2 linked regions of the Tribolium castaneum genome follow. The protein of the gene in region 2 interacts with the protein of the main gene of each other region in a pairwise test. Links are inferred from orthologs where the notes say so. Each region holds a gene or a part of one and is shown on either strand. Other genes may lie near its edges.

Evidence for each region.
Region 1: the proteins of Rat1 (region 2) and TAR DNA-binding protein 43 interact in binary tests that used the Homo sapiens proteins (3 or more experiments, as listed by UniProt). The link is inferred for Tribolium castaneum from reciprocal best matches to the Homo sapiens genes XRN2 and TARDBP.

The regions. Positions count from the first base shown.
Region 1 is NC_087401.1:11,344,216-11,360,459, reverse strand, and holds the end of TAR DNA-binding protein 43, read right to left. Parts: intron 16,084-16,244; coding exon 15,914-16,083; intron 15,862-15,913; coding exon 15,721-15,861; intron 15,668-15,720; coding exon 15,235-15,667; intron 11,944-15,234; coding exon 11,737-11,943; intron 11,075-11,736; coding exon 10,927-11,074; intron 10,068-10,926; coding exon 9,716-10,067; 3' UTR 9,507-9,715; coding exon of another isoform or gene 9,254-9,506; 3' UTR 9,204-9,253; coding exon of another isoform or gene 9,008-9,203; 3' UTR 9,007-9,007; downstream 1-9,006. Other genes in the region: dynein axonemal intermediate chain 7, read right to left, coding at 1-97, 151-366, 419-585, 635-909, 2,793-3,209, 3,258-3,647, 3,698-4,747; putative fatty acyl-CoA reductase CG5065, read left to right, coding at 5,098-5,295, 5,342-5,849, 9,008-9,203, 9,254-9,506. UniProt on the Homo sapiens protein: RNA-binding protein that is involved in various steps of RNA biogenesis and processing.
Region 2 is NC_087396.1:15,731,515-15,748,071, forward strand, and holds Rat1 (5'-3' exoribonuclease 2 homolog), read right to left. Parts: upstream 13,517-16,557; 5' UTR 13,388-13,516; coding exon 13,313-13,387; intron 13,269-13,312; coding exon 12,231-13,268; intron 12,183-12,230; coding exon 11,970-12,182; intron 11,922-11,969; coding exon 11,650-11,921; intron 11,598-11,649; coding exon 11,429-11,597; intron 11,378-11,428; coding exon 11,288-11,377; intron 11,238-11,287; coding exon 10,906-11,237; intron 9,650-10,905; coding exon 9,431-9,649; intron 9,380-9,430; coding exon 9,240-9,379; intron 6,674-9,239; coding exon 6,444-6,673; 3' UTR 6,209-6,443; downstream 1-6,208. Other genes in the region: borr (borealin), read left to right, coding at 13,951-14,044, 14,097-14,221, 14,275-14,407, 14,584-14,768, 14,816-15,091; CD98hc (amino acid transporter heavy chain SLC3A1), read right to left, coding at 15,309-15,540, 15,685-16,394, 16,445-16,557. UniProt on the Homo sapiens protein: Possesses 5'->3' exoribonuclease activity. May promote the termination of transcription by RNA polymerase II.

The sequences.
Region 1 (16,244 bases), on a different chromosome or scaffold from region 2:
GAATAAACGCCACCTATGATGCTAAACTTGCGCAAATTGATAACGTCATCGGTGACACTTTTGAGGAGGTTTGTCCGCGTTTCACTATAGAGGGCGTCTGGAATTTCGTTACGTCACGTGATTAATAATGGCGGCTGGAGGGGAGGTCACCTTCGCTCGCAATGACATATTCGCTCGCAGTGGGCTCCAGTTTCCGGTATGGTACAACCGGGATTTCGTCTTCCGGTCCGAAAATGGGCTCTTCCGGTTGTACCACCGGTTGGTCCTCCTCTCCGGGCGGAGGGGGCGGTGGTTCTTTCCTTACCCGATGTTTAAACTTGTAGAGTAATTTCTCCCACCATTCTAGTTTCATGGCGTCGTACAAGTCTATAACTAGGATTTCAAAGCCGACTGTTATAAATAACAATCACACTTGTACCAATATCATAGCGTTCTGGTACTTCCGGTTTCTGATAGGTGTCACACAAGTCGCTCAAATGGTCGTATTTGACGTAAAGCGTCCGCACTGCCATTTTGTCACCGTCAATCGAGACCGGAAATTGCACTTCCATTTTCATTTCGGGGAAATTGACTTCAATTCGCGGCCTAAAATTTGACAGTCAGGAGGCAAGATGGCGGAAGTTAGGGGAAGTACTTGGGTGGCCGTCTCGGATTGGGTAGTGGGGTCGGAAGTTGGACCCTTAGCCACAAACAAAGAACGATGTTGTCGTCTTGGTACTTGTAATCAGCCGTTGGGATGTCAATTCGGTGCAAATTTCGCTCAATGTCGCGCAAAAGTCGATACGTGGCAACGTCGAGACTTTTGGCTTGTTGTTGCCGGAAGAGTAACCGCACCCACTTCCAGTTGTCGATCACTGATTGGTCGGTTTCTTCCGCCGTGTCGATCAAGTCGTCCAATTCGTTCAAAAGCTGGTGACCAAAGGTTAATCAAGAGCGGTTTATTGAATTAAATCATGCTACCAAGATGTGGCGCCACGTGCGCTATCTTTACAGATTTCTGTAAATTTAGGGTAAGGGCACGGTCCTGTGTAGGAACTACTCTTGTCATCTTTTAGTTGTGTGATTTCAAGGAAAATCCAAGATATTAAGTAACCTTTGGTGCGCAATAATAAAGGTTTCAATTATAATTGTTCCGTTTCAAGTTCGAATTATTCAGCTAGGTGTTTTGTTCTTGTTCTTTTCTTATTTAGATTTGTTTATCGTTTCTTGGTATAATTTATTTCTAAAGTAAACTGAAGTACTTTATTAAAGTCCTTATTTAGTTCTTTAATTTTTTTCCAAATTACAAGATAATGTTAAATGGCCGATTTTTTTTACGATTAGGAAGTCGCCATTTCAATTTAAAAAGTGAAAATCAAATACATTTATTCCTTTTAGTGAGTATTTTAATTAATTGTATTTTTTTTTCTTTATAGTATTTAGAACACTAACAAAATTTTGTAATGAGGATGTTTCCATTTTTTTGAAATTAATACCATTAATAGTCGTCGTAATTGTAAAACTAATGGTGCTTTTCATTTTTTATATTCGCAAAAATAAAAAAGTTATGAAACCTCAAAGTTGGAAAATTCGATTCTTTAAAGGGCTATATCTGGTTAAAATTAACATGTTTCCAAAATTACTTCCTCAATTTTTTCCATTTAGCTATTTATTGCACTCCTATATCTTTTATGAATGTTTAATGAACTATTAGCCCTAAATAAAATAAATAAAATTTAGTAATCTCACGTTATAAAACCGTCTGATATCAAAAAATGAGAACATTACAACTTTAAAAAACAAGAAAATCGTAATTTCATATGTTTGAAAACTCTAGGTTTATAATTATAAACCACATCTACTTTTTCATCGAACCTATCTTCAAAAGCAGTGACAAATTAAGAAATTGTATATCTGTTTATGCAAGAGTCGATATCTTTAATAAGAAGTCGTTTGTAGAACACTTATCTTTTTACATATTTTTTGTACAAAACATTTTGCAAGCATCGCTTGTTCTACAAATCATAAAAATTTCCATTAGTTAATATTTTTAATTTTTTTAAATAAAATAATATTTTATTAATATAAATATTTCTTATTAATTAATATTTGTTATTTATAAGAAATTGTAGAAGAAATCTGAAAAAATTCAAAGGCATACAGAAAGAAAAAAGCAAAAAAAAGTGCAAACGCTGTTTTTTGTATGATTATTAAAATGGATTATTATTATTATTATTAATTTTTAGTGATTAATTACAGTATCAAAGCGGCAGACAAAAAAGCTTATATTTTTGTTATTTTTAAAGCTATCAAATTAATTTTTTTTGATTTGAGTACTATTATGTTGAAAATAAATAATAACATTTTGAAAAATTGGGAAGAAAATCGTGTAATAAATCATTTGCTGCCAATTTTACTTCAACATACTACCAAGATATGGCGCCACAATCGAAATTTTGACGACCAGTGAATACGCGTTACTTGATTTTCTGTTACTACCGTATTCTATGCTAGAATACTTCCTGTTTTAATATTCATTCCTCGTCCCTTTTTGAATTATAATCTATCATATATTTATCAAAATAACTTAAAACTGTTAACTCTAGGCTTCAGAAAAAATCATGACAGTCGAGAATTACATAAAAACAAGTTATGTATGACTTAATTCCGCTTCTACTCATAAACAAATAAAAAACTCAAACCAGATATATAAGATGTAACTTTTTGACAAAAACGTAATACAAGTTATTACGATTGATATATATTTTTTTTTAATTTTTATTTATGCTAGAGAAACAAATCGCCTCACTCACTTCTAACATGTCCACGGTGCGTTTCGCCGCCTCCTCCATTGTCGTTTGTTCGATGACATTTTCCCACAAGTGCAGAAAAGTGTTCATTTGGTCACACTTGGCCGGGTTCGGGAGGCGTCCACAGTTGACATAAAACTCCCAATCTTCTTGTACCTTCGCATCGTGCCTCAATTTCTTGTTATAACGCACAACGTCGTTGATATATTGTAGAGCGACTTCTAACTGCTCCATTCTGATTTGTTGTTCAAAAGTTTCCCGTTTCTCCTTCTCGATGGCAGCTTTGCGTTCTTCTTCCAACCGTATTCGTTCGAGTTCAGCCGCTCGTGCTGCTTCCTCCTCTGCTGATATTTTTGCTTTCTCGGCTGCTTCTGCCGCAAGACGGGCCTTTTCCTTCTTCGAGAGTTTCTTCTTAGGGCCCTGAAACAAAGTGTCACTAGTAGTAAGTCAGGGTTGGTGCCCGGACACCTTCTTCTTCTTTTTCTTCTTTTTTGGCTTGGCTTCGGTTTCGGTGGTTGCAGCTTCGCTTTCTTCACCACTTGCTTCCAGTTCGGCTAAATACTTCAATCGAGCGATTTCGGCCAAAACGTCGTCTTGGGGCTCAATGGCCACTTCTTCTTCCTCAGGCTCGACTTTCTTCTTTTTGCCCTTTTTGCCTTTCTTCTTTTTTTTCTCTTTCGGTTCTTCCTCTTCACCCACTTCCATTTGGACTTTTTTACCTTTCTTCTTCCCTTTGCCTTTCTTCACTTTTGGTTTGAAGCGACTCGACGATTTTGCGAGTACTGATTCTTCAATTATGTCCTCATACGAATAATCCGAATCTTCCTCTGACTCATCATCTACAAGAGTCCACTGGGACTAAACCCAAAATTAGTACTTTGTTAGGCAGAAAATTGTGTGTTTTTTACGGAGGTTCGGCGTTCCGACGATTTACTCCGTGACAAAATTGCTGACAAAGACTTTCCAATTAATTGTGATCCCGAACTTTTGACCTTCCTCAAACTTGCAGAAGATTTCTTATCTTTCTTCCTCAAACTAACTTCGGAAGCAGTGGGCAAATGCTTGCCTCCCTCTTGTGTTAACATTGTAGCCGATGGAACTGAAGCAGTTCTCTTCATTTTTTTACCCTTCGCTTTCTTCTTTTTGTGGGCAATGGCGGCCGCCGAAATGGAAACAGTTGGTTTGATATTTTCTCGCGATTCTTCACTCTTCTTCAATTTCTTCTTTTTCTTCCCCGTGACACTCATTTGAGACGTGGACGTACTCTTTTTACCTTTCTTCTTCTTCTTCTTTTTTCCATCTCCGACACCAATCGAAGAAGTTGAACGACCTTTCTTCTTTTTTTTTTCGTCGCCAACACTGATCGTGGAAGTTGAGCGACCTTTCTTCGCCTTCTTCTCTTTCTTTGATTCTTCTTCATCGGTGGAGACAGCAGAAGCGGACTTGTCTATTCTGACTTTACTTTCTCTCAAGGCTGATGCTTCAGTGATGGAAACTGCTTTAATAACTAACGGTAATTTATCAACCTCTTCAGTTTCTTCAGCCGGTTGTTGTTGTTCAACGGTTTGAACATCGTCTTTGCCTTTCTTCCCTTTTTTCTTCTTGCCTTTTTTCCCAACACTTGTTTCTGAAGTGCTTTTCTTCTCTTTTTTGCCTTTCTTTTTCCCTACACTTATCTCAGAAGTGCCTTTCTTCCCTTTTGACACTTTCCTAGACGAAGCTCTCTTTATATCAGGTTTCGAAGCATCAGCTTCAAGTTCTTCAAAATCTGGGACAGTTTCAGGTTGTTCTTCTTTCTGCTGCGGTTCGTCAGGTGGTTCGGCTTGTTCTTCATTTACTGGTTGTTTTTCTTCAATTATTTGATCTTCACTTTTCTCAACTGCAACTTGTTCTAAACCTGGCTCAGAAGTGGCTGCGGTTGTTTCTAATTTTTTGTTTTTGGCTTTTCCTTTCGCCATTTTTGTGATAAAGATAAATTTTTATGAATTGTCACAATGACAAGCCAAAAAATTTGGTTCCGCAGTTAGCCCAAATTACAAAACCTCTCTCTAATGGCATTTTGACGGTGCAATAACTTTCTTTAATCAATTGTTTCAAGCAAAGACCGCTCTAGTTTTCTGCCAACTCATGTGTACATAATGAAGATTACCATATCCGCTCTTAATGAGTTGTTTGTCGAAGTCTGCTTTAGTCATATTTTTTCTACCATCGAACTCACTCGAAAATTAGTCCCTTATTGTATGCTAATCGAGGTCCGGGTCAACGCCGACTTCGATACAGCTAAATCAGTTCAAAAGACGCACTCGAAATGGCCGAACTTCCAACAATCACCGAATTTTTCCGCGGAAAAAATATTTTCATAACGGGCGGAAGCGGCTTTATCGGGAAAGTCCTAGTGGAAAAGTTGCTACGATCATGCCCCGATTTGGCCAACATTTACTTACTCATGCGGGAGAAAAAAGGGAAAAATTTGGAGGAAAGAATCAAACTCATAACAGACCTGCCGGTAAGTCACTAAAGTAACAAAAAAATTAAGCAACTAATTCTAACAGCTTTTTGACCAAATCAAATCGAAAAACCCGAAAATTTTGGACAAAATCAAAATCATCAATGGTGACGTTACTCGGCTGGGCCTCGGCCTCACTCCCGCCGATCGCCAATTATTCGTCCACAACATCAATATTATCTTCCACGGAGCGGCCTCTGTGCGTTTTGATGACGCTCTCAGCGATGCTGTTTTGTTAAATACGAGGGGCACCCGTGAAGTCGTCAATCTTGCGTTGGCCATGAAAAATCTACTCACTTTCGTCCACATCTCGACGACTTATTGCAACACAGATCGCAAAGTGATTGGCGAACAGCTGTACCCAGCCCACGCTGATTGGCGGAAAACAATTGAAATTGCGGAAAGTGTTGACAGACACGCTTTGAATATCTTGACAGAAAAATACATACATCCTTTGCCCAACACTTACACTTTTACGAAATCGTTGGCCGAACATGTGGTCTATGACCTGTGCAAGGGGAAAATACCGGCGGTGATTTTTCGACCTTCGATTGGTGAGTTGGGATACATTCTTTTCTGTGTCTACTGTACGTAACGATTTTACGAAATAATTGAAAATCATTTTCTTGCGTAATTTATAATTGCTTTACGCTTCTTTTATTAATGAAAGCAAAATTGCTTTTGTCTGCTGACCAAATGTTTTAATAATTTTTTATTTCACTGTGAATTGTGGACTCAAAAAAGTTTAAGCAATTTAATTGTTTTCACAAGAAAATATCGTAGGGTTAAACACAAAATTAAATAATGGGTTAACGTCCTCATTTTAATTGTGCAACGCTTCAATTGTTTGCAATGTGGCAATGTGATTAATCGAAAATCATTGTTTCGAAAATTAAGTCGTAATTCAAATTTTTCAAATGTGAATAATTTGAATTTGATCAAATCTAGGAAATGGAAAAAATGTCATTGTTGTTGTTTTTTCAATATTAGAACAGTCGTTTATAGCTTTTTCGTGCCATCTCTTAATAAAACCAAATATACAGGGTGTAACAGGAAAAAATACTAAAGTTTTAGTTGCCTTGGAACAAAACAACAAATGAAAATGGTAACCAAAATTTACTTTTTTCTGTTTGGTGCCTTTGATGACAAAAATTGTCTAAGGTGCAACCAAATGTTATCATAATTTATAAAAAACACATAAGTCTTATAACGTTATAAATTAAAAAAACGAAAGAAACTTAAAAAAAGGTGCACCCTTGATATTTTTTCATGTATTAACATTTGTTTCACAATCTTTTCGTTAAACAATTTAATAATCAAGCTTTGTTTAGTCTTAGATTCTCAAAAAAAAATTGTTACAGCCAAGACTAAAGCGATTTACAAAGTGAGTCGGCTAAAAGTATACAGGGTGTTTCACATAATCACGTAATTTTACGAGGCCTGCGTCTATAAAATGCACATACAATACATATTCCGATGCGAATTCGATTACAAATTCCAAAAATTAAATAATGAAATATGTATTTTTTGTATCTATTATCTGTTTCAAAACTATAAAAAAGCCAACGTCGCATTTTACCGAATTATTTTTTCAAATAAAATTGATAGTTTTGATTGATCTCTCATTGAAAGTATAAATTACATTAGCTATTTTTACTATACCTCAAAAATTAATAATCACAAAGAATTTAGCGTCTGCTATTAATTTTTTTTTCTCTAATTATGTGTATTTTTCTAGAATATTTTTAAATTCATATTTTAAGTAACTACAAATGATTATTATTTTTTGCGTTGTCATTTTAAATTAAGTAATGTTTAAATGTTGATTTGTGCAATAATCCGTAAAAAAATGTCAAAAAATAATAATTAAGTAGAAATAAAAAATTCAAATACACTAGCAAAAATTTTATTAAGAATATTTTTAATTTTAAAGACACTAATATTTTTTATAACTAATTATATTAATAATTATTAATATTAATTTGAAGGATGGAAAAATTTTGAAAAAATTGAGATGCAGAGAACATAAAAATGGACAATAATATACAGTCACGATCAAAAAGAATGACACCTTTAAACCACAGCCACAAATCTTTTCGATATAATGCGGTTAATGTGGACGTTTGGCTAGTTTATAAACTGGCTGGATATTTTGTAAACTAGCTAGCAGTTTGTAAACTAACTTTTTTTTTTAATTTATGACCTAAAAGATTTTAGTCGGCTATCAATTTTTGAGATATAGTAAAAATGCTCGCACAGTTCAACCTGTATAACTGGCAAGTTTTTGTTGCATAAAATAAAATAATAGTTTGAAAAATGAATTATTAAAATAGATTAGAGTCAAATTTAATGAAATTCTCGAAAAAAATTGCAATTACAATAAAAAAAACACAAAAGATAAAAATATTCTTTGTAAAATTTAGTGAGAAACCATTTTCAATATTTATTTGAGAGTCGAAAAGTGCACCATTTCCTAGCAAAACTTTTTCTCACTTAAATAAATATAAATTAATCACTGAAACCAGCCAGGAAAACCGATTTTTTCAATTTCATTGCACAAACAGCTATTTCAATTTGGTTCCTGACTAGAAAAATTGTCTAGAAACGGAACCAAAAAACATACACCACAAGCAAAATTTGGTGTTAAAAACATTATGAGTACGATTTCTTTTACGGATTACAGAACAGTTTCAAAAAATGCATATTTCAGTTTGATAACAGCCCAAAAATAAATACATGCACGCTTTTGGCTTTTTTCTTCCTGTTTTAATACTCATTTATTAATTTATTTATTACTCAATTTATTTAATTTTTTTACATATTTTTGTAAAAAACATTTTGCAAGCATCGCTTCTTCTAGGAATCATAAAAACTTCCATTAGTTAATATTTTTATTTTTTTTTTAATAAAATAATATTTTATTAATATAAATATTTCTCATTAATTAATATTCATTATTTATAAGAAATTGTAGAAAAAATCTGAAAAAAATTCGAAGGCACACAGAAAGAAATAAAGCAAAAAAAAATCGCAAACGCTGATTTTTGTGTGATTATTAAAATGGATTATTATTAATTATTAGTGATTTATTACAGTATCAAACCGGCAGACAAAAAAGCCTATATTTTTGTTATTTTTAAAGCAATCGAATTAATATTTTTTATTTGAGTACTATTATGTTGAAAATAAATAATAACATTTTGAAAAATTGGGAAGAAAATCGTGTAATAAATCATTTGCTGCCAATTTTACTTCAACATACTACCAAGATATGGCGCCACAATCGAAATTTTGACGACCAATGAATACGCGTTACTTGATTTTCTGTAACTACTGTATTCTATGCTAGAATACTTCCTGTTTTAATATTCATTCCTCAGCCCTTTTTGAATTATAATCTATCATATATTTATCAAAATAACTTAAAACTGTTAACTCTAGGCTTCAGAAAAAATCATGACAGTCGAGAATTACATAAAAACAAGTTATGTATGACTTAATTCCGCTTCTACTTATAAACAAATAAAAAACACAAACCAGATATGTCACTAAGATGTAACTTTTCGACAAAAACTTAATACGAGTTATTACAATTGACAATTTTAAATTTTTATTCGTGTGAGAAGTTGTGATACCGTACTTTAATAAAGTCTTCCTCATTTTTTTAAGCGGTGTAATAACGCAACAATAAAAAATCTTCCACCACTTTCAGTCATTTCCACCGCACACGAGCCATTCCCGGGCTGGATTGACAATTTCAACGGCCCGGTGGGCCTGCTGGTGGCCTCCGGCAAAGGCATCGTGCACACCGTTTACAGCGACCCCGACGTAATCGCCGACTACGTCCCAGTGGACATCCTCGCCAAAGCAATGATCATAGCAGCGTGGAAACAGGCCGTCAAGACCAAGTACAGTGATCCAAACCCTCCAAAACCTAAAAACTAACTTACCATCGCAGGTCTCCCGAGCGCCTAAACCCCGTCTTCTACAACGGCAGCAACAACGACGTGCAGCCCATCACCATGGGCGACATGGTCGAGATGGGCAAGGGCATCTGCGAGGACGTGCCCTTCAACGACGTGCTATGGTACCCCTCCGGGTCGGTGAACAAGTGCTACTACGCCTACTTGCTCAAAGTGTACTTCTACCATCTGCTCCCGGCGCTCATCATCGACGGGCTGCTCAAAGTCATGGGCAAGAAACCCATGTAAGTGTGGGGGGTTTTGTTTGGTCGATAATGTTCTGTTGCCAGGTTGGTCAAAATCCAGAGACGGATCTACGTGGCGAACATGGCCCTTCAGTACTTCTCGCGGAATCAGTGGGAGTTCCTCAACGACAAGTCGGTGGAGCTGCAGAAGGACTTGCTTGAGGAGGATTTCGGGAGTTTTCAGTACGGTGAGGACGATGTGGAGCCCTACGATTACTTCGTCAAGGCCACAATAGGAGGCAGGAGGTATCTGTTGAAAGAGGATGATGACAGCTTGGAACAGGCCAAGAGACACTCGAGGAGGATGTGGATCGTGTCTAAAATATTCAGTGTTGTGTGGTACTTAGCCTTGGCCTGGTTGATCTTCGTCAAAGTCGACATCATCTCGGTGATTTTCAACAAGTATCGAGAGTTTTGTGTGTACTTGTTGAGTGAGTAAGGTGGAAATAAAGCACTTTTCGTTTGCAATAATTTATTCAACAATCTTAGTAAAATCTTGAGTTTCCAACGCGCGAGTTCAGTCTTGTGTGCGGCGCTCCACGGCTTCAATACCAATCCCAGGTCCCTAAACAAAACCCCAATTAATGACATGACTCGCCTCCGCCTCGCAAGTGTTAAAGTCGTCCATCATCAGTGTATTTTGTCCAAAAATTTGAATCAAACTTACTCAGTCAGACGTCTTCACATGTCCCACCATTCGTCCCCATTTACTACACTCATTCACCACACTTTTGTTTAAGTCTCTTCATGCAATCTGTCAAGACACAGGGAGAAAGGAACACTACGACGGCGCACACTTGACCTGACCTGACCTGACCCAAGTGCAAGTGGCGCCGTCTCTACGACAGTCAAGGAGTATCGTCTTCAAATTAAATAAAAACAAAACACAGATCATCTGCACTCATATAATATTATCACCTCTTTTACATAATTATCCTTAAAAACCCAGTCAAACACAAGTAAATGTACAGTCACTATCTTTTAAAACTCTTACGATGCGATCGTCGTGATGCACGTGGGGGAATAATCAAAACTGCCAACTCCGGCAAACCACCAACAGAAATTCAATACATTTTCTTTTTCCCTAGACTAATCTACAGTAGGAGCAAAGCTTCCGGAAACGACTTCAACCAGCTAATATACAAAACAAAAGAACCACCTCACACACTTCCGGCATAATAAAACAAATGAGTATATTTTGTGTATAAAATTGACTAGTCCTCGAATTTTCTTCTTCACCTGACGTCATTCACACACAACATTTCCGAAAACTTTTCTCAACATGATGTGCTGAATTATATTATTTGAGAGACACACACTAAGTAAGCAGAGAGAAACGTAATAGAAAAATAAGAATGAAGGAAGGTAAGGGATGAGGAGTGATTGTGATTGGTTGGATTTAAAATTATTTGATTTAGTCGTACTTGAGAAATCCCTTGTTCTCCTGCGCCTGTTGGGGGGGCGGTCGAGGCCATTGGCCGCCATCTTGGTTTTGACCGCCGCCCTGATTTATCCAACTGAGAAAACCAGGATTGCTGCTACCCCCCTGGTTGCTGCCGTTCGGCGTGTTGCCTAAAACACCACTGGGTGACAGGGGCACGGGACTAGACAGATTGACCAGATTGCGATATACAGGCTCCCCAAAAAGCATGAATATAGCTAAATATTTTCAGAACGGTTTAACAAAGCACCTTGAAATTTGGGACACAGTTATAAGTGTTTAAATTCTATCATATGCGATCTTTTTCAATTTTCCATCGTCAATTATTTTCAAAATACAAGACTAACTTGATTTTTTTAAAGACATGAAGCAACAAATTTAATAATATTCAAAAGAACATTTTTTTCCGAATTAAATGATATAACATATAGCTTTATTTTTATTAGAAGGTAAAAAAAAATATTAGTCTTTTTTTTTTTTTTCGATTAAATTAAGGTACACATGTGTTTCGCCATAGAACTAAAATAAAAATATTAAGTATGCCCCTTATTGCCATTAAAAAAAATCAAGTTAGCCTTGTATCCTGAGAACAAATGGAGATAGAAATTTGATAAACATCTGAAACGATAGAATTTATTTACTCTTAAGCACGTACCAAATTTCAATAAGTTTTGATGTATAGTTTTTATAATTTGTACCTGTATCTATATTTTTTGGGGACCTGTATATATTTTTTAAAGAAACGAGCTCGGCTTCGCCTCGCAATCTGCTCACGCACTCTTATGACCCTTACCGCTGTTATTGTTGGGGCCGTTGTTGAAGCCCTGATTGAAATTCGGTTCGGGCTGATTCTGTAAATTACCGATAAGCCCCCAGCCTGCTTGATTCAATGCGGCAGCGACCAGAGCGGGATTCATGGGTAAAGCGCTCAAATTCAAACCCAAACCCAATGGATTACAGCTTTGTTGGTTACTACCTTGCTGACCTTGACCGGTTATACCTATAACGGGGAACACATCGCAACACATTCATCGATTTCCAAGTTTTTTTTACTCATTTTTACTATTAATTACATTCACAACAACTAGAACTAAACAGCAACATTTTTTCTTCACATCAAACCATAACCTACAACCATTCGGACACGTGAAACATTTCGGAATTGTACAATATATATAGGGCATTCCAAGTTTTAAAGCCGGTTGAAAAATATAGATTTTTTGGTGGGTAATAAAACTTGAAGCACCCTGTATGGAGAAAGGAAATAAATAAAACTCACCGTGCGGGAACGACTAGATCTTGTTAGTCGGGAGTTTGGGAGAGGAGTTCACAAAGGAGGCCGGGGTCAAAAACTTAACTAAACGAGCGTAACGAGTGACACAAACTTAAATAATCCCAGGATAATCTGACCCAGGCAAAAATCTGACTTGGACACATTTTGGCTTAAAATAACATTTTTTGACCCCTCTAGGGCGAAAAAATGGCACGATGTTATAAAAAAATTGGTTTTGAATTCAGTTTTAGACAATATTTTTTTTTTAATGGGCAGAAATCACTGCACTACTACTGTAGGGCCTTTAACTATTTTCAATGTTTACAAAAAAATATTTATTTAGTTATCGAAGTTAAATATAAATTAAAAATATTGAATTTACTGAACATAACATTATCAAATTACATGTACATGAATTTCTGCGATAATGTTTTAAAATGACATTTTTATAAGTTTTTAGATAGTACACATTTTTATCTTTTTGGTAAGTATAAAAAAAATCAAAAAAGTTGATAAAATAAAAAGTTTTTTTGTTTATTTTCTGGGTTTAGGTGTCATACTAAATATTTTCATAGAAATTGAAACATATATAAAAAACAATTGCCACGAAAACAAAACAAAATAAGTCAAAAACAAAAAGATAAAATAAGATTTGGAATATTCTGGAAAAAACATGTCCAAAAAATTTTCAAATTTCAATGTATCAACTCAAAAATCTTTAATATCTCTAATATCATCTAAGTGGATTAGGAAAAAATAATAATGATATATTATTGTCAAATTGTCAATTCAATTCTACCGGGTGCTCAAAAATCGGCGCACCAACTCAATGGTGTGTGGTAGAGAATTGCTTATATATAAAGGTAAAAATAGTAAAAAAATTCTTTGTATTAAAATTATTGATAAATAACGAATTTTCAATAAATGAAATGTGGCAACGTTGTCTAACAGTCGTGATCTCAACAGAATTTGATCAACAATAGAAGTAAATTATTTTGAACTGGTTTCCTAGGAAATAATTTCCAGTGTTGGCACATCTACTAATTGTGATTTTTTTGATGAATTTTATTTTTTTTTAATTTAAAAAACTGCTAAAGTCTGATAGTAAATTTAAAAATAATTATTCATTGTTTTATTAGGGAACGATTACTTGGTGTGAAACATAAAAACATTAAAGAATAATAAATACTGGAGAAGTTAACAAAATAAGTTTATAGCTACAGATTTTTTAAAATACGACTCTAGGAATTTTTTCAAGATTTTTCCCGTAATCTACACTTGCTTCTCAACAACGTCCCACTGAGTTGGTGCGCCAGTTTTTGAGCGCCCTGTACATCGCAATAAGTCCAATTTTAGTCATTTTGAAAGCAATAAAGAAACGTTTCCTATAAAATCCTCTTTTTCAAATGTAATAATTAGATTTGCAATAAATTCCTTTATTTAAATGTTATTAAACAATATTGTTAACACCGAAAATTTGTGAAAATTGATTCAGTGCAATGAGATAAGTCAATTAATCGTTTTTTTTTCTGCAAATCTACAAATTAATATTAAACGTAAAGTAATATAAGAAAGTATAAATTAAATCTGGCATGTCATTCTAAGTGTTTTTCATAAATTTTAAGACAATTTTTTTGAAAATGTGATTTTTATTAAACAAAATTATTATAATAATGCTTCGTTCTGACTCTTGGGTTTAAAGGTGTTTGCATTTAAAAATCACAATTAAAAAAAATATACAATGTTATATACACTTTTAATGACTGAAAAAACTACAGTAGCCCATTAACTCCGAAAATTTGTGAAAATTGATTCAGTGCAATGAGATAAGTCTATTAATCGTTTTTTTTTCTGCAAATCTACAAATTAATATTAAACGTAAAGTAATATAAGAAAGTATAAATTAAATCTGGCATGTCATTCTAAGTGTTTTTCATAAATTTTAAGACAATTTTTTTGAAAATGTAATTTTTATTAAACAAAATTATTATAATAATGCTTCGTTCTGACTCTTGGGTTTAAAGGTGTGTGCATTTAAAAATCACAATTAAAAAAAATATACAATGTTATATACACTTTTAATGACTGAAAAAACTACAGTAGCCCATTAACTCCGAAAATTTGTGAAAATTGATTCAGTGCAATGAGATAAGTCTATTAATCGTTTTTTTTTTCTGCAAATATACAAATTAATATTAAACGTAAAGTAACATAAGAAATTATAAATTAAATCTGGCATGTCATTCTAAGTGTTTTTCATAAATTTTAAAGCAATTTTTTTAAAGGTGGTTTTTATTAAACAAAATTATTATAATAATGCTTCGTTCTGACTCTTGGGTTTAAAGGTGTTTGCATTTAAAAACAACAATTAAAAAAAATATACTATGTTTACGTCACTTTTAAAGACTGAAAAAACTGCAGTAGATTATGTATGATTGTCAATATTTTTTTAATTTAAAGGTATTTTATTAAACGTTTAATTGAATTACAAGTATTAAAATTAATTGGTATGACATTTGCCCACATGGAGCAGCTTATAAAATTTTCTTGAAAACAATAGAGTCGGTTTATAGAAGCGTCATTAAATTAATCTGCTATTAAATGCGTGATTAATGTATCACGTGACCAAATTGAACAAATTTAATTAGTCCATTCGCCTTGATAACATTTAAACCGACCCTTAAACCGGTTTATAGAAGCGTCATTAATTTAATCCGCCATTAAATGATCAGATAAACAAATTAAAGCATTGTGATTGGTCTATTCGCGTTGTTTTAACAACGTGTTAAATTTTAATAGAGCTTTCTATAAACCGGATCTTAGAATCACTATTTTCAATTAATTTAAATTGCGGATGAATTTTTAAAATAGGAACTGTGTTTTGTTATATTTTCGCAGAATGATTTTTGACTTTTTATGACCCAATCGACGTAATTATTAGTCCTAGGTCCTAGGGTCAGACTACCCTTAAGTTGCCAACTTGACTTGAAAATCGCAGCCAATTACCCAAAAACTTACCTAAAGCTTGTAAATTGGGCATATCGATATTTCCCCTCGGCCCCTGATTGCTCCAATTGCCCTGATTCGGACCTGGATTGTACCTTTGTTGGTACATCCCAGGCCCATCAGGTCCCGGTCCGCTCCTGTTATTCCCATGATTGGCACCTCGTGGTCCGCCGCCCCCATAACCACCGCCTCGTGTTTCGGATTTGGGGGCGGCGTTTGAAACATGAACTGACACACCCTTGATTATATGATCCTCGCCACAGAGACTTTGGGCCACTTCGGGGTCCAGAAATGTAACAAAACTGAATGCGCGAAACGGTTTCGGGATGAAAACATCGGTGACTTCGCCATATTTGCCGAAATATTCGCGAAGATCGTCGGCGGTTAATTCTTCAGTGCAACGGCCGATGAACACTTTGCAGGGCACTTGTTGGATCAGACCTTCCTGGAAAAATGAGCAGTTATTGCGAGGCGAAGCCGAGCCAAGTAATGATGTACTTTTGAATTGGGTACTTTGACATCACACCATCGACCGTCAATCATATGCCTTTGGGCCAAGACACGCATCTGGGATTCGTACGAGGCGAAGCGAATGAAACCGAAGCCTTTTGATTGGCCGGTTTTGGGGTCTTTCTTCACCTAGAAAAATTCGCATTTTATGCAATTCGTGCTGAAATTCACCACTCATTACTTGAGCCATTAAAACTTCACCGAACGTTTCGAAATATTCGCGTAAATTCTGTTCTGTTGTTTTCCAAGGTAATCCTAACACTATCAAGTCTGTACATCTTAGTTTTGTTTCCATACGTTTCGTTTTCGCAGTTGAATTTTCTAAATTGTCGTCCGATTTCCGTTTGTTTTCTGAAACAGATAACACAAACTTTACGCTTGGCAATAGCTCCACACATCAAATTTTTATCGACTTTTACGAATTTAACTACGTCACTGGAAAGATTTTAAAAATTTAATTTCAGAGAAAAGGAGCAAATATTTTTTGTCATTTAGCAAAATAGATACTGTCG
Region 2 (16,557 bases):
TAATAAGTTTAATACGTAGAATTTTTTTAATTCGTGCATCGGTTTTTGAGCATTTTTTTTAATCAACTGATCAGATTTATAGTTTTTGTCGTATCTTATTAGATACTTCTTAAGTTCTTTAATTGTCTGGTTAAAGTAATTTAAGAAGAAGTTTTCAGTAAGTATAGTTTTAATTCATATTACCTACAAAAAATTCAGAAAGTACAGAGTAATGGCAGCAAAAGCCTGGAGAACTTTACACACAATACAGGAAAGTATCTTTATCAGCGACAACGGAATATTGTAGAATAAAGTGCAAAAGTGGCTACGTTATTTGAAAAACAAAAGCTTCTTATATAGGTAAATAATTTAAGTACAGAATAATTTTTTATCGCAGAAAATACCTGTAAAAAAATTTTTGTGCATGTACATTTGAAAAAAATTCTTTATGTTTTTCAACTTATTATTTTTTAAAAACGTACCAACTGGAATTGAACTGGATTTGCTATTTCATTCAAATAAACTGACTGAAAAAAGTTAAAATAATTACTGAATTTTAGAGTAAATCTGCAGAAGCCTCAAAAATTATATCATATGTGTTTTCTATAAAGCTTTTTATTTTATCGTAAAAAGTTGTACAGTTTTGTATCTTCCAGTGCCAGTAAAAATATCACTTTACAAAGCAAATAATTTTAAAATGTAGACAATACCTACTTTACCACAGATAAAAAGAATTAATTTAAAAGCAGACACACATTAACTAATTTGTTTTAATCAGATTTCAATGTGTATATTACAACGTAATAATCCCCATTTTCCCACTGGTTTATGCAATTTATTATTCATTATAAATGTTTTTTAATGTTGTCACAGGCAAGAGCTGCCAAAATTATAAGTAGCCCGGAGCGGCAATGGACCTAAATACACCCCTGCATTTAGGGACAACAATGTTTTTCTTAATAAAATTTCACACTAATTGTAAATAAATGCTGGTGTTCACATCAGCAAAAAATCAATATGAAAAACTCGTGAAATTTGCTGCGATAAGTATTGGTCCAGGCTCAAAAATCCCTTCCGAGGGTGAGTCAGTATCCTCGGTATTAGCAAATTGAGCGTATAAACAGGTAAGTCTAATATTGAGAGGATTATCTGGGGTAGCGAGCAGCGATTATGCTGAACCTGCGAAATCTCAGAGATTGTTTTAGCGCCCCCTTGCGCCTCCGCCCCTTGGCGTTGTCAATAATTCGCGATGCCTCGACATAATAAAATCCCGATCCATGTAAGCCGACGCTAACGATACGATGTGATTAATTGTTGCCAAGTAACCATCAGAGGCTTAGGTCAAGTGGCGTCCCGACGCTCCGGCAGCGCCGCCACCCTCGATCGGCTACAGTGCATTATTACATTCCATCCATTTGTCATGTGAGCTTCTTCGGCTTTAATTACAATTAGTATTTTTAGGGGCCGTTTTTGTGGGCGGTTTCGCCGCCACACATAAAGTCGGATAAATCTCGACTGTCACAATCAGGAGGCTGGACAGCATTTTATGGTGCTATCAATACACATCCGACACAGTGTCGCCACCAGCTCGATACTTTCGGACCCTCCACAATCGACGTTTTGTCTTAGGACGCTTACACCTACAGGATGACGAGGCAGGATGCCGGTGAATGGGGCCTTCTCCGGCAATTAGCGATTCGAATTGGACACGAAGGCGCCTCCAGTTATGAAGACGATCGCTTTATTGTCTAGCTGACGGCCCGTCACCGGATAAATGCCAGATGAGAATGAAACGGTTATGAAGCGAAGAATTACGACAGGACTGCTCTACGGCACTAATAGATGGGATCACGATTAAAATCGTCGTTACGGACTGAAAATTACTAAAACAATAAAGACAATTAAATTTCGCGACGTTTCCTAATACTAATATCCTGCTCGTAATTTCCTAATGCAATAAATGTCTCGAACAAGATTATTGTGGCGAGAAAAAAATACTTTAACAATGAAAACGTGAGAATTATTTAAATATCTTTGTTTTTCATTATAAATTAAAATTAGAAAGCGATTTGTTGAACAATAAAGCTGACTTGCTAAAATTCAAAATTTTGAGGTAAATTTTTCTTGTGTGAACTTTAGGAGACATTGAAAAATTCACCCCAAAGTGTTTTATCACATAATATGTAAACCAATATCACAGCATGGCGTATTTACCAAATTTTAATGCATACCTAATAAATTCGAGTTTAGAAGCTTCATAATCAATTCAAAATTAAATTTTTAGACATTGTAACGCTAATACGTAGTACCAAATGTTCATAATGTTAAATTGTTAAAATGAGAAAATACAAAGTAAAAACGAGCGCCTCTCATTTTAAAAAAAACTTTTGAATCCAACAGAAAAAAAAGCAAATATAATAATTTACTCTCGACTTTATTTTATTTCTATACCGGGTGCTCAAAAACTGCCGAACCAACTCACTTACCATACATTTGTGTATGGTAGAAAGTTGCTTACATAAAAAAAAACAATAAAAAAATCCGTTGTATTAAAGTTAGTGATAAATAACGAATTTTAAATAAAACGTCTAACAGTCGTGACCGCAATAGAAATTGATCAACAATCAAAATAAATTATTTTTGAAACGGTTTCCTAAAAAATAATTCCCAGCGTTGGCACATCTACACATTGCGATTCTTTTGATAAGTTTTAATTTTTTTTTAATTCTAAAAACGCTAAGATCTGATAGTAATAATTTAAAAATAATTATTCATCGTTTTGTTAGAGAACGATTAGTTAGCGTAAAACATGAGAACATTAAAAAATAATGAAAACTAAAGAAGTTAACAAAATATGTTTGTAAGTCCAAATTTTTTAAAATATAAATTTAGAAATTTTTTCAAGATTTTTCTCGTAATCTGCACTTGCATCTCAACAACGTACCACTAATTGGTTCGCCAATTTTTGAGCACCCTGTAGAAGTACCACATAAAGCAAAATGCTATTTTTTAGTTTTGGCAACAAAATGTTTCTATTTGTCAAGAAAAAAAGATTAAAAACAGGTTCACAAAAAGCTCTATTAAAATTTAATACATAATTTGGTCACATGATTAAATTGCATTTAATTGCGGATTAAATTAATGAACCCTATGTAAACCGACCTTAAGAAACTTGCCAAAAGTGCCAATGCCTTATAAGAAAATATGAAAACAATATAATTTTTTTAAGTTCATAAATAAACCACATATAGGGAAATTTCAAAGTTGAAAAAAATATTCATCAAGTTATGTCCATTATTTCTCAAAAAATTATTTTTTTTAATATGAATAATCTGAAACTAAAATACTAAATAAAAACTTCTGAGTTATTGAGATCATTAAACATTTTATTTTATTTTATCAAAGAGATCAAATATTCCTATAAAATAATTCCTAATAAAATTATTTAAGTTATGACACTGTCCTTCGCCTTAGTATAATAGGATTGTTTCCCTTATTTCGTCAGATCCAAATGAAAATACATAAATCTTTTTTTCTTCAACTCGGTAATATTCCTGATGTACCATCACTCACATAATTAGAAAATTTTCCAGGTTGATAGGTAAGTAGTCATAGAATAGATTATATATATATATATATATATATATATATATATATATATATATATATATATATATATATATATATATATATATATATATATATATATATATATATATATATATATATATATATATATATATATATATATATGGTAGCGCTCAGCTCCGTTTGCGTGTGCGTCATCTGACATTTCTGTCACTACGTTTACATAGCAGGGGCATAGCGGTGACAAACTATCAAATATTTTTTGAGGTTACGAAGTGTTTAAATTATGAGTTGTTACAAAAAATACAGATTCACAAAACAAGAACTAATAAACGCAGAATCAAAAACCTAACGAAATGCAAATCACAAAACACAATAAACGAACAGAAAATACTATATATATATACCAATTAACACAATACAAACTGAATATATATATATATATATATATATATATATATATATATATATATATATATATATATATATATATATATATTATATTATTAAGTACTTAGGTACTTAAAATTTAAATTCCGCATTTCAGTTTGTATTGTGTTAATTGGTGTCTTTTACTTTTTATGAGTACTGCAGCGCATGTTCGTTTTTTATTTATTACAATACTATTTTAGTAAAAAAGTTATTAATTTATTAAATATTATCGAATATTTTAAATCATTGAACATAGCTACAAACCTACATAGATTACAAATTTTATGAATAAATCAGAAACACACAGAAATATATTTAAAAGAGCTCGAAAATGTGATTTCCCCTACATGGACATCAAAAATGCCAGTCTGTAAATACCACAACAAATTTAAAGCAATACCGTAAAACAGTTAATTATATAAATATCTTTGTTCACGTATTTGTAGCAGTAATTACAATCACCAAAACATTATATTTTTTGTTAATGATTTATCCAAACCTATTGTGCTGTTTAATTTTATTCATTTTATCGCAAACAGATGCTTTGTAAATTATTAAATAAAATACAAATAACCTTTTTGCTGATTATGATTTCCTCGTTATTTTCAAAACAACTTCGATGTCTTATGCGTGTTGTGTCTAATAGATATTTAATAGTGCACGAATTTTAAAACTTAGAGTGGTTAGCGTTTCCAAATGAAATGAATCTCCAAAGATAAATAAAAAAAAAACAATCGTATTATAAGGATTTGGATTTAAAAAGATTAGTCTCACTTGCATATCCACATTTTTCAATGATTTCTTCTGACTACATCGAGATTTCGATTGATTTCCCAAATTTTGCGCACTGATATGTCCTCTGCGATTTACCAAAGTTTTGATACTTGCATTAAAAAGAAATTATCTATCTATCTGTAGATCTATCAGACGTTAATATTAATACCGATATTTTATTCTCCATTACTTTCTAATAAACACATTAACAATAATTTAATTACTTGAACTTGATACAGCTGTCGCAAAAATATTAAAATGTCGGTTACAAATAGAAATAAACTGTGGTAGTTGACGTAAAACAAATAATTTGGCTAATTTGGAAAAAAACTTATCAAATTGAGAAATCGTTGGCCCCCCGTGCCTGAGAAAGCGCCATTTCGCTCGATCGCCCCCGGCGCAAAGTCACATCACATCTGAATGCGTCCAAATAATCGAAAAAGTCCACATATGCATAGGAATGCGTTGTTCGCAGCTCGCTGCGTCGTGTGGGAGCGCGGACCACCGCAGGAGATCTTTAATGCCACCCCAAAGGAAACCGCGTGACGTCCTTTATTCGTGCTCATCCCGTCCGCGATCCAGAAATCGAATTTGCGATATTCCGTATTCGTTGCGATAAAATTTATTTTTTCCACACGCTGCCCCACCGAACACAACCCTGCATCAGAAGTTCAAGTGGCCGCTCTCCTTAGCTACCTACAGCTACATGCAACTCAAGTGGGCATTGTGCCAGCACTACCAACGGCCCTTCTTGCACTCCACGCTTGCCATTGTCTGCACCCGAACACTAGACAATCTAAAAAATAACGCGTACTTATCGCCATAAAGGCCCTAATGCACTATTTATTCCTATATTGTATGTTGCTAATGGCTGTCACCTGGGTCTGGACGGCCCTCCATAACGCGCACGGCTTTGGTATCCGCAGATTCTCGGTTAAAGGACAAAGCCATCGACCGTTTCAAATCGCGTTAACGGCAAATGTCAATTAATAAAGATTCTTGTAAAGGTGTTACAAAAAAGTTACATTTAGATTACTTTATTCAATCATCAAGTATGTAATTTTAGTCTTGGCTTTTGGTAAATTTTCGTGTCTACTAGAAGGCAATGTAAAACCAGGTTAAAAACAAAGAAATTTCCCCCTTTTTCGTCAAAAGACTAAACCCAGCACAGCGCCTATTTTTGCACAAATGCACTAAGGCGAAAAGTCAAAAACGTGCTTACAACTGCAATATTTAGTGGCGCACAAAGCGCATTACCATAAGCGTACAATGAGTGAGCACTCTTAGCATGGAACTCTTGTTTCTGAGACAAGAGTCCTTAAATCGAAACCCCCTCCCTACCCCTTTATTTCTCTTTCATCAGATCCAACGGTAGCGGAAGTGCCACTATTCTTCTGCAACCATGCAATTTTTATAGCGTAATAAAACACAACCATACTAAAATCATATTGTTTATTCCATACTTTTTAAACTACAACAATTCTTTTCCTTAAGCCTTTGCTAGAAAGGTACAAAACCATAATCATACAAAACAAGAGAATACTGTTCTCTCAATGAACCTACACTATACATTTTAACTCAAATAAATAGTGAAGGGATAGTTATTTTTTTAAGTGATTAAAAAAGTTACAAAGTCGGATAAAATTAGAAGTATGTAGAAATGAAAATTTCTACCTCCTGTAGCTGTATCTATTTGCGTTAGGGTTCGAGCTGGAGGTCTGATATCCGTCCCTGTAAGGACCCGGAGGCCTTCTGCTGGGATCGTTCCTGTCGGAGTTGTAGTTCCGATTTTGGTAGTTGTTCCGGTTGTACCTTTGATTGTACCCTGTGTCATACCCACTCTGGTACCCCCTCGAGTTGTGCCCCTGGTTGTAACTCGAGTACCCTCCTTGACTGTGCCCTGCAATTGATCCTCATGCACTAATAAACTCTTCCGCCGCGAAAATTTCATCAAGTCCGGAATTTACTTGACCGTGTCTTCCCTTTGATCGAATCACCCCCTCGACCGCACACGTTGATTGCCTTCCTCGAGCCCGACGTGTGTTGGAAATTCGCGAATTTTCCGCTCCGGCGGCGTCCGGAATAATCTTGCTCGCAGTCGGCCGGACAATAGTTCAATTTGGAAAATCTCCGTCGGTGGAAAACTAGACGCCAAGCGAAACTATTTTCGCATTAGGGGCGGTGGCGTTGTGGTGATTGTCAAATTAGGCGTGTCAGTGGTGCTGACGGCCGCACAAAAGCTTCAATTACGCGCTCTGCCGCCGGCAGAACGGTGTCATTGTTGCGTCACACCCACAAACAAGGGCACAATGCTCGACAAATTGCTTGTTTTCAGGACGAACGATGCGACGGCCCCGCAGAACCACGAATTACGACCGAGCGGACCGATTAAGATACGGAACGCGATAACATCACAGACACACACAACGCATAATGTTCAATAGTGATATGGGACCGGCATTCATCAAAAATGCATTATTTCGACGCGTTTCTAAATCTCCAAACTAATAAAAAAGCTTAGGTACAGAACGACGAAAAATTAAAAGCTGGAAAGTTTTTTGATAATGTTCCAGAACAAAATCTAACAAAAATAATTTTATACATATTTAGTAAATTAAAAAAACAAAAACCGTATTGAAATACATGTAAATATTATTACATATTATCAAATTGTTTTTTATTCTATAAAAAACTCTTCTTAATTAATATCCTCTTGACCACAAAATTTCTACCATGTCAGATAAGATGGTATTATACCATCTTTATACCATCTTATGACACTGTAGTATGTTGAAGTTTAAATCGTCTTAATAAAATGTTTTTAGCATATTTGAAAATGTGGTCCTTTTACGTTAACGTTTTACGCCTGTTTCAACATTTCTGTTTAAATCGTTTGTTGTTCCTTTTAGATAGGTGAGGACACCTAATTATACATTGGAAGTGTTGATGTTGAATTCTGTTCAATGCTAATCTAAACTTTTTATAGTTTCATAAACATTAGGCACCATTAGAACGCGAGTGAAATTTTGTAGGTGAAAAAAATGTATGAGCTAAGTTTTAAATAACAATTTATAATTTTATTCTAATTTCTCGTATAAATACACTTGTACAAAGATCAGAAAGTTACGAATTTGGAATAAAATATTATAATATTTTTTGTAATGTGCCTCTGAGTCCTTTAAAAAAAGCCATGTATCTCATAAATAAAAAATGGAATCATTAAACCATTAAACTTATATTAGAACAGAATTTCAACAAAAAAACTTCCGGGTTATATGGGTCAACTAATCTTTTCCAACTAATTAGATGACAATTGTAACAGTTTTTATAAATTAACGCCAATGGACCTTTGATTTTTTTAATATGAATAGATTGGTTTCCAAAATTTCAGAAAAAGTTATTGTATCTTCGTTATCATCAACATTTAAATAAGGTTTTTAGGCTAAAACTCTTGAGAACAATACAAAGGTGAACTTCGCGAATACCTAAATAACCATATTATGACTTGTGAGTCTTTATGACTTAATTTCTAACAATTTATTATGATACTCGTAAAAATACTTATATACTTTGTGTTGGCATTAGGATTGCATTTTGAAACTTTTCGAGCTTTATTACGACAGGCTGTATTCTCACCATAAAAAGTCCTGTTTACTTTCATAATTTACTATTTTGGTATTTAGAAAATTATTTCAATTACAATTATCAAATTAATAATGCGAGTATATCAAAAAACAAAACATTTTAATTCGTCAAATTATTGAACCATACAAATTATACTGATAATGATTAATTGAATTTTAAATGTATTTATTTATAATTAAATGAAGCATTCAGATCTGGAATGGCCTAATCCACAAAATGTATTTTAATTACAATCTGAGATCAAATGCATACTTTACTATTGATCTAATAATTTGTAATAAAATTTGTAATAAAACATTTAAAAATTTTCATTTTCGAAGACCGTTAACTGTTTGGTAAGAAAAGTTTGGAAATTTGATACACTAACATGAACAGTTAAAGAACGTATTACACCTTACAAACTAATAAAAGTTGATGAATTCGCAAGTTTGTTTGTAAACAAGCAAAGTAGTTACACCTACAACCCCGGTAAACATTCCAATTACGCCACCGTTCCCCCACCTTTACTTTTATTGGTTAGACGCATAAACAAACGCCGGTACCTAGCTGATTTGGGCAATAACCGTCGCTAGTGCAGTGTGCACTGACTTAAAACCGATTTAATTGCAATCGTATAATAATGAACATGCGAAGGGGTCACGTGCTAGACACGACGCGTGCCTCCAATCACCTATTAAAACAAACAATTGACCCTTCTCCCGTCCACCCTCACCACCATTGTTCCGCCGTCAACAACAGAGCGCCGTGAGGGTTTCTCGCAATATCAATCGTCAAAATCCGATCCAGTGACCCTTATTTAAAACAATCAAATCTGTACTTACCGTAATTACTGCCGCGATTTTGGTGATAGTTATTTCTTCTGTCCATATTAGACGGCGGAGGAACGTGCGAGTACGGACCTGGACCCGACTTGGGAAAATGATGACCCACCATCCTGTGGCCGGCCTCGCCTAAAGTGGCTCTAAATCATCGACGTTAAATTTTTTACGCACGAAATTTAAATGAAGTTTACCGTGTTGTTGATGGCACCATTCCAATGATAGGTCGCCAGTTTCTGCTTGCTACAGGATCTAAATCTGTTGGTTTTAAAACTCGAGGCGGATCGATCGCGCCTTTTAGTTTCTTGGCTGGAAATACGAAGCCGGAAGCGTATTTTGGATCGCGGTATTTCACACAAGACACCATGTTGTTCATGATGTCGTCCAAACCGCGAATCGGAGAATCCAAATAACTAAAAAATTAGAAAATTAGAAACTTTGTTTATTATAGAGATACCTAAATACTAGAATGACACGACGCAGGAATAGAACGTCTCCTAAATTAAAAAAAAAAAAATGGAATGGCAGTGCCTCCACTGCTGACAAAGAATTTTTAAAATCTGCTGTTAATTCCACATTTTTCTAGATCAAACCTGTAGTTTCTTATCTTAAAATTCTTATTGCTAGTTTAAATATGTATTACACCTAACCATTCTTATGTTGTTCTTATGTTAAATTATTTCTCCTTCTTTTTATTATTTTTTAAAGCTACCTTGCGATTACGTACAGGCATTGTACTTTAAATGTTCGAGCAGAAAATTGAGTCCTTTATGTTTAAAAAAAAAAGTATCAAGTAGCATGACGGTATTGGATGAAAAAATTAGATCATTATTCGTTTAATTCAGGATATTCATGTAACATTTGTTTCAAAAAGCCTTTTTTTTGATCAGCATTATCTGGAGTGCTAGTGTTATTTTTCTGAATCATGTGTTTCCTCCTCAATTTTGTTTGAATCTTTTATTTAAAACAAGTTAAACACCTCTAACAGCTTGTGGGTTATCAGTATCATCAAAAAACTTTAATAAAATTTCTCAAACAATGTATGAAAATATAAAAAAGTAATATTATCTGAAAAAGTAGTTGCAAATTTTATTTATCATCTTTGCATTGTAAAGTTATGCTGTTGACAGAACAAGGAACAAGGAACCTGAAGCAAAATGCGCGGACAACAAACGTCGGCAGCCATCCCTTTATTTTTTTGGCACCGTTGCCGAAAAGAGTCATTGTCAAAAAAATAGTTGTATTTAAACACAAGATAAACAGATAGAATAAAATTGTAATTGTAAAAAATAAAGATAAGGAAAAAATTATTAAAAATAAAAAAAAATTCAAACTTATAAATTTTTTCACACCACCTCCCTATTTTTCAAAACATGGTTCAAAAACCAAAACAAGTAGTAGTGTTCGTCTTCTCAGCTTATTAAAAATTTGATAATCAATATTCCTGTCTTTTTTCCAAGCAATTAACAATTGGGTGATGGCATTACCACTATACTCATTTTTATATTTATTTTTTTATTAGTGAGTTATTTAAATTCACATCAATTTTAAAGTGTCTAATATAAAATATTTTGTATCTCCTTTCGCCTAATACTTACTTCTAGTTAGTTTATTTTCACCTTTTCTAATATTTTTAAAACAAATATCTGTTTTAAATTATCTTACTTACCCTCCATAATCGACGCATTCATCGGACAACAACACAGTCCCCTGCATTCCCTCAATGGAAACGTGCACTTCCATTTTCACACTGATTTTTTGTACATACAGTTGCTTTATTTGGTTATAACCGGCGTTTTTGGCCCCAACATACAACCGATCATCTCCTCGCACATTTCTCCGAATTTCTTCAGGTGATAACTCTTTATAATATGGAGCTAAGGCCTTAAATAACCTATCCTCATTAACAAAAGGCAATAACGCAACTCCTTGCCAGGCAAATTTCTTCCCGTTTAAGTCAATTTTAAAATCTTCGGGATAAAAATCAATAATTGGTGATTCCTAACACAAAATCATAAATGGGTTTTAATTAAAAAAAGTAGAGTACCTACAGGGTCTGACATTAACTTTGCCCATGGTTGAGGAACATGTTTACTACTAGCAGCCGGGAAAACACCCATTAATTGTTCTAGAGGTCGGAACTGAAATTACACTATTATTGAACTGTTTTGTGGAAAAAACGAAGTTATTACAGGATCAGAGTCTTCCTCAAATTCAGTACTCAAGCCTGCGATGTGAACAAAATCTGAAGCAAATGGGGCATAATGGTAGGGATAGTACCACTTCCACGAGGCACACCCTTGGTAATAGTACCGCAAAACCCAACACAAACCCCTCACGTAATGCAGCGCTACGTTATTTCTACAAATTATTCAAAAATTAATTTATCAAGACGCAATCGCTTCTGAAGTACCGAAAATCTAGATTATCAGAATTCACGTCGAATTTTGATTCATAGTAACGATCCTTGAACCCATCTTCCCATAATCTCACTTCATCATGAGCCTGGTCGTCATCACTTTCATCGTCGTCCTCATGGTGGCGCTTCTGGCCCCGGTTACTTGACTGACTATCCACGGGTGTTAACATCGACTCTAACCCCGCTTTTTGAGTGTGCATTCCGGCCTTTCGTATTTCAAAAGCCTCATGACGGGCGTTTACTACCGGCTTTGCCTGGCCTAAAGCCTAAAACACGAATTAAAATTTGTTATGTCGATAAAAAAGCAAACTTGCGGTAGGAGCAAACTGCGTGTTCTTGACCAAGTCCCAGTTGGGTTTATACTGGTTGTAGCCTTCGCTCCTCCGTCTTTTCGCCTTTTCTCTCGCCTTAAACTGTAATTCTTTCTGTTGTCGTGTTTTAAATATTTCATCCTCAGCTTTGCCCAATTCGCTCATAATCAACTGAACGCGCTCCAAGTTGACATCACCGCTGTTTGTCAACCAGCCCTGCAATGTCAATAATTAAAAACCAAACATAAAACTCGTTAAATTTACCCCAGTTTTATAGACGCAATCTTTATATAGTCTGATTAGTCGGTCAATTGCCCCTTCCCGAATTTCCAAGCTTGGCAAATGTGGTAAAAAATCGTTACCAACAAAAAAGCACATAAAAACCCAATCGTCTAAAACCCGCTCAAACTCGTATTTGAAGGGTAAATTCGGCATTTGCAATTCGCGTTCTAAATACTCCTTTAAAACGTTCAAACGAACAAAAATATAATCCGTTTCTGCAAACACTTTCTGCGTGTCGCTCTCAGCACTAGCAGCGCCACCTATACAATCTTTCATTTCGTGACCCAACTGACCACAAATATCACAAGGTCTGGGCTTGTTAGGCTTGAACTCTTCCCTAATTATAGTAAAATTGGGCTCATGCGTGGCCAAACCCAACATGATTAAGTCAGCGTCGGCACCACAAAGGCAGTGTTGAGTGTTTGGATCGTGGTCAGGTTGCGCCCTCTGGCGCCTAATAAAATCCATGATTTTGTGTTCGCCTTCACCCGGCACGTTCGCATCCGAGAGGATAACTTTAATCCCCTGCCACCCTGGGTCATTATTCAGCCTCTCGTGGATGTAATAATGCAGGCAGTTAGAAAGCCGCGCCATGAACGGGGTCCCCGGCGTGATGCAGTTGGAATCAAAGTGCTCCTCCTTCGGTTTCTCGTCCGGCAACTTCGCCCCTCGCAGCAACAGCTCGGCCCGAATTCGCTTGATTTCGTTAATTTTCTCCACGGTTTCTTTAGCGGCGCGGAAACGCCTTGATCTCTGCTGGTTCATTTTCGCGCGTGGGGCAACTCCGTCAATCGCCATGTACAGGAGTTTCCTGGGACGGACGATGTTGAAAATGCGATCGATGCATTCGAAAATCGCGACCATCATCTCGTCTTCATTGCGCGGCGCTGGTCGGTCCTCTGGATGCGTGCACGGGTGGATAATTCCGTTCATGTCCAGGTACAAATTGTCAAACTCCACCCCGTTGGGGTTGGGCTCGGCGGAATTGGTTGGAACCCGGACCCCATTTACATCAACTGCCTGAAAATTGGCTCGAAATTTGTGAGTGATGGACTTAACCTTACTTTTTGTTCGATGCAGTGGACGATCACTGAAGGGTATTTGCGGCTCAGCCAACGGAAAAATGCCGGGACTCCCATTGCAAAAGGTCGGAATGCTAATAAGAACGTAGATAGTCGCCAGGAAATTAAGAATTTTGAATTTATTCAAAAGTTAAATGCATGACAGCCATCTTGAGTCACTACTGTAAACAGCGCAGCCAACATAGCTGTCTCAAGCACGCTGTACACTGTTTCTCTAATAACTAATTATAATTTATTTAAAAATACATCGTAACTGACCCAAAAAATAGAAGCGTAACTGTGGCATGTAAATACCTACACGTACATATGAAAAAAGTTACATTTAAATTATTTCCAGGGACATTGCGTTAGGTTGGCGACAACTTCAAGATTTTTAAATGTCAGTTAGTTCGTTAGTGTAGACTTGTGCCTGTTGTGCTTGAAACTCAGTTTTAGTTAATAATATTGTGTTATAAATATCACAACCTAATTAGTTAACTCACATAAAGTCTATCTAACGTAAGCGAGTGCTTTTTATTATAACGCAAAGGTTTGTAACAAGCAAACAAGAACTGGTCAAGCGTCTGCAAAAAATGCTATCTCATATTTACAATCACCTATATTTTTTAATTAACTTACAGATGCCTCGAACGAAAGTTGTTAAAAAGGAGCGGAATGAAGAAGCCGGACGAATTAAGGAATTGGTGTCAAAAACAGGTCCGATGGGGAAAATGCGTTAGTAGTCTTTGCCGGTGTCTGTACTCGTTGCTGTAGTTTAAAATTTCAGTAAAGAGCATCCCTTCCACATTTAAACAACAGATAGAGAATTTCAAGATGCAGTTTAAGGCCGATTTGAAGAAAACGAAGCTTTCTATTCCCAGAAATCTTGCTAATAAGACTATGGGGGAGTTGGTAATGTAGAAAATATTTTATTGTAATAATAATTCATTATGAAAAAAATGTAGATGGAACGGCCTCCTGGCTGGTCTGGGGATAGCACCGTCGGTGGTTCTGTTACTCAGTTAATGGATGCAACACGAACAATGACAGTGACGAAAAGTAAACTTACCAAAAGTAATTCTTTTGGTGATGATGAAGGTAAGCTACACTGCACAAAAGCTTAAATGCTTGACTTTCCATCCTTTACTCAATAAATTAATTTTATTTTTCTTGTCATTACTAACACTCATGAATTTAAATGTTTCTTATAATTTTTAATATGTGACTAAAACCGGTATCATGACATTCATCTAATTGGGGTTGGGGCTTGCTAGGGTACCTTACAGCTGAAAGTAGTAAAAGTACTTCAGGTGGTAGGCAGTCAAGAACAAAAAATAGAGTACCAAAAACGACTCGCATCTCAAGATCTCAATCACTTCGCACTAAAAACGTAACAGAGGTGTATAAAACCCCAGCACAGAGAGTTCCTGCCAACAGCTATGGCACAGTAACACCAAAGGTAAAAATACGGTTTTTATTGTGGAAAAATTAACGTTGTTGCGATAGGTAAAACCCAACACACCGCAAGTACTTTTGCGCCGACCCAAGCAAGGAGAAGTCGCCCTATCGCTCCAAGGAAGTCCTCTGCTTACAGGAAATGTAGTGACTGACAATGTGGCCAACATCAACATTCCCCTTGAGGATGGCCGTCTTTTCTCGATTCAGCCCCAGAGAGGTTTACGCGTCTCTCAAATCCCAGAACTTGATCTTGAAACCAAACGACAGTTGGAGACTTTGAGGGATAATTTGAATAAAGTCTGCTCTTTAGCAACTACACGATAGGATATTAAGTGTGTGTGTATTATTTTTAATTATCGAATTCATTCATACATGTATTACGTAACCGTTGTTCAAAATAAATTGACTTTTACTGTAAATTTTTGTAATACTGGAGAATTGAAACCACTACATAATGCTGCGTTTTGAAATATATTTACTGTTCAACACAAAGTATAAAAGCAAGACAATGGAATGCCTTTATATTCAAATAATTGCAGGTTTATTTAGATGGCGGTACATATGACATTACAATTGCTGATTTTGGCGAAATAGGCACAGAATGTGCGTCATGTTTTACACTGACTGCTACATTTGGTTCGCTGTAATTAGCGCTAAACAGCTGAACAGTCACATCTTCTGACAGACCTTTGATATGGGCAGGGAAGTCGACCACCGTGCGATTGTCCGAGGGGTTTAAGGCGACCAATATTCCAGGGTTACCAGCAGTTACCCTAAAAAAAATAGTTATACACTACCACTGTTAACAACAACAGTTTGGAAAAATGGTTACGTTAACATACCTCCCCCTATTCCACGTTAGCAAGTAAAAATGTTTTAATTTAATGTTAGTTTTGAAATTAACACGTTTTATTTACCTTGTAAATGCAAACACAGTCTTATTGTTGAGTAAATGCGAGGAGAAGGAACCTCTCATAATAGAAGGTGAATTTCGTATCTTCAACAACTCCTTGTTGTTTTCCGATTCCAACATCACCAGTGGCGTCCCGGGTAACAAATAAGTGACAAGATCCCACTCACTCGAAGCGTTGACTTTCCATAACGGCCAAGTGATATTATCAGCATTAAATGTCGTATTTAAAACGTGAACAACATCGGTGATGTTAACACTTGGTTTATTCAATAAATGCGATTGAAGAGGCAGATCAACAACAAATGAGCTGTTGACCTTGTAAGCTTCGATATTGCTTAAATGTTCAGCTACCATAAATGGCCCATTTTCTGTCATGTTTTTAACAATAAATCTCCACTGTTTTAATAGTGGCCCCAATTGCATCACATTTTTAGTCTTTGGGTGCGTGTAAAAACTGTGTTCTTTGAAACCATCTCCAGTGGGATTTGGGATTTTAATTGGTTCGTCTTCAAAGTTTGGATCCACCAATAGGTAGGGAGCTCCTTTAAGCCTAATCCCGCCTGCGCCATAATTTAGGAACTTTTTAATAACTTCAGAGAATTTTTCAACAACTCTAGGGTTGTAGAAATTAAGGTGGGGCTTATCCATTGGTGCATAATAAAATTCTTTGCGATTTGGAGAGTATTTCCACGATGAGACATTCCTTACTGAGAGCTATTTAAAAAAAGTTAGTCAATACAATTAGAGAAATTCCGCAAACTTACCCAGTTATTTGGGGGTGTTGGCTCCCCTCCATTACTAGCCTCTTTAGGTTGACGCCAAATATAAAATTCACTGAATAGAGGATCCCTACTTTCAGATTTATTGAACCAAACCA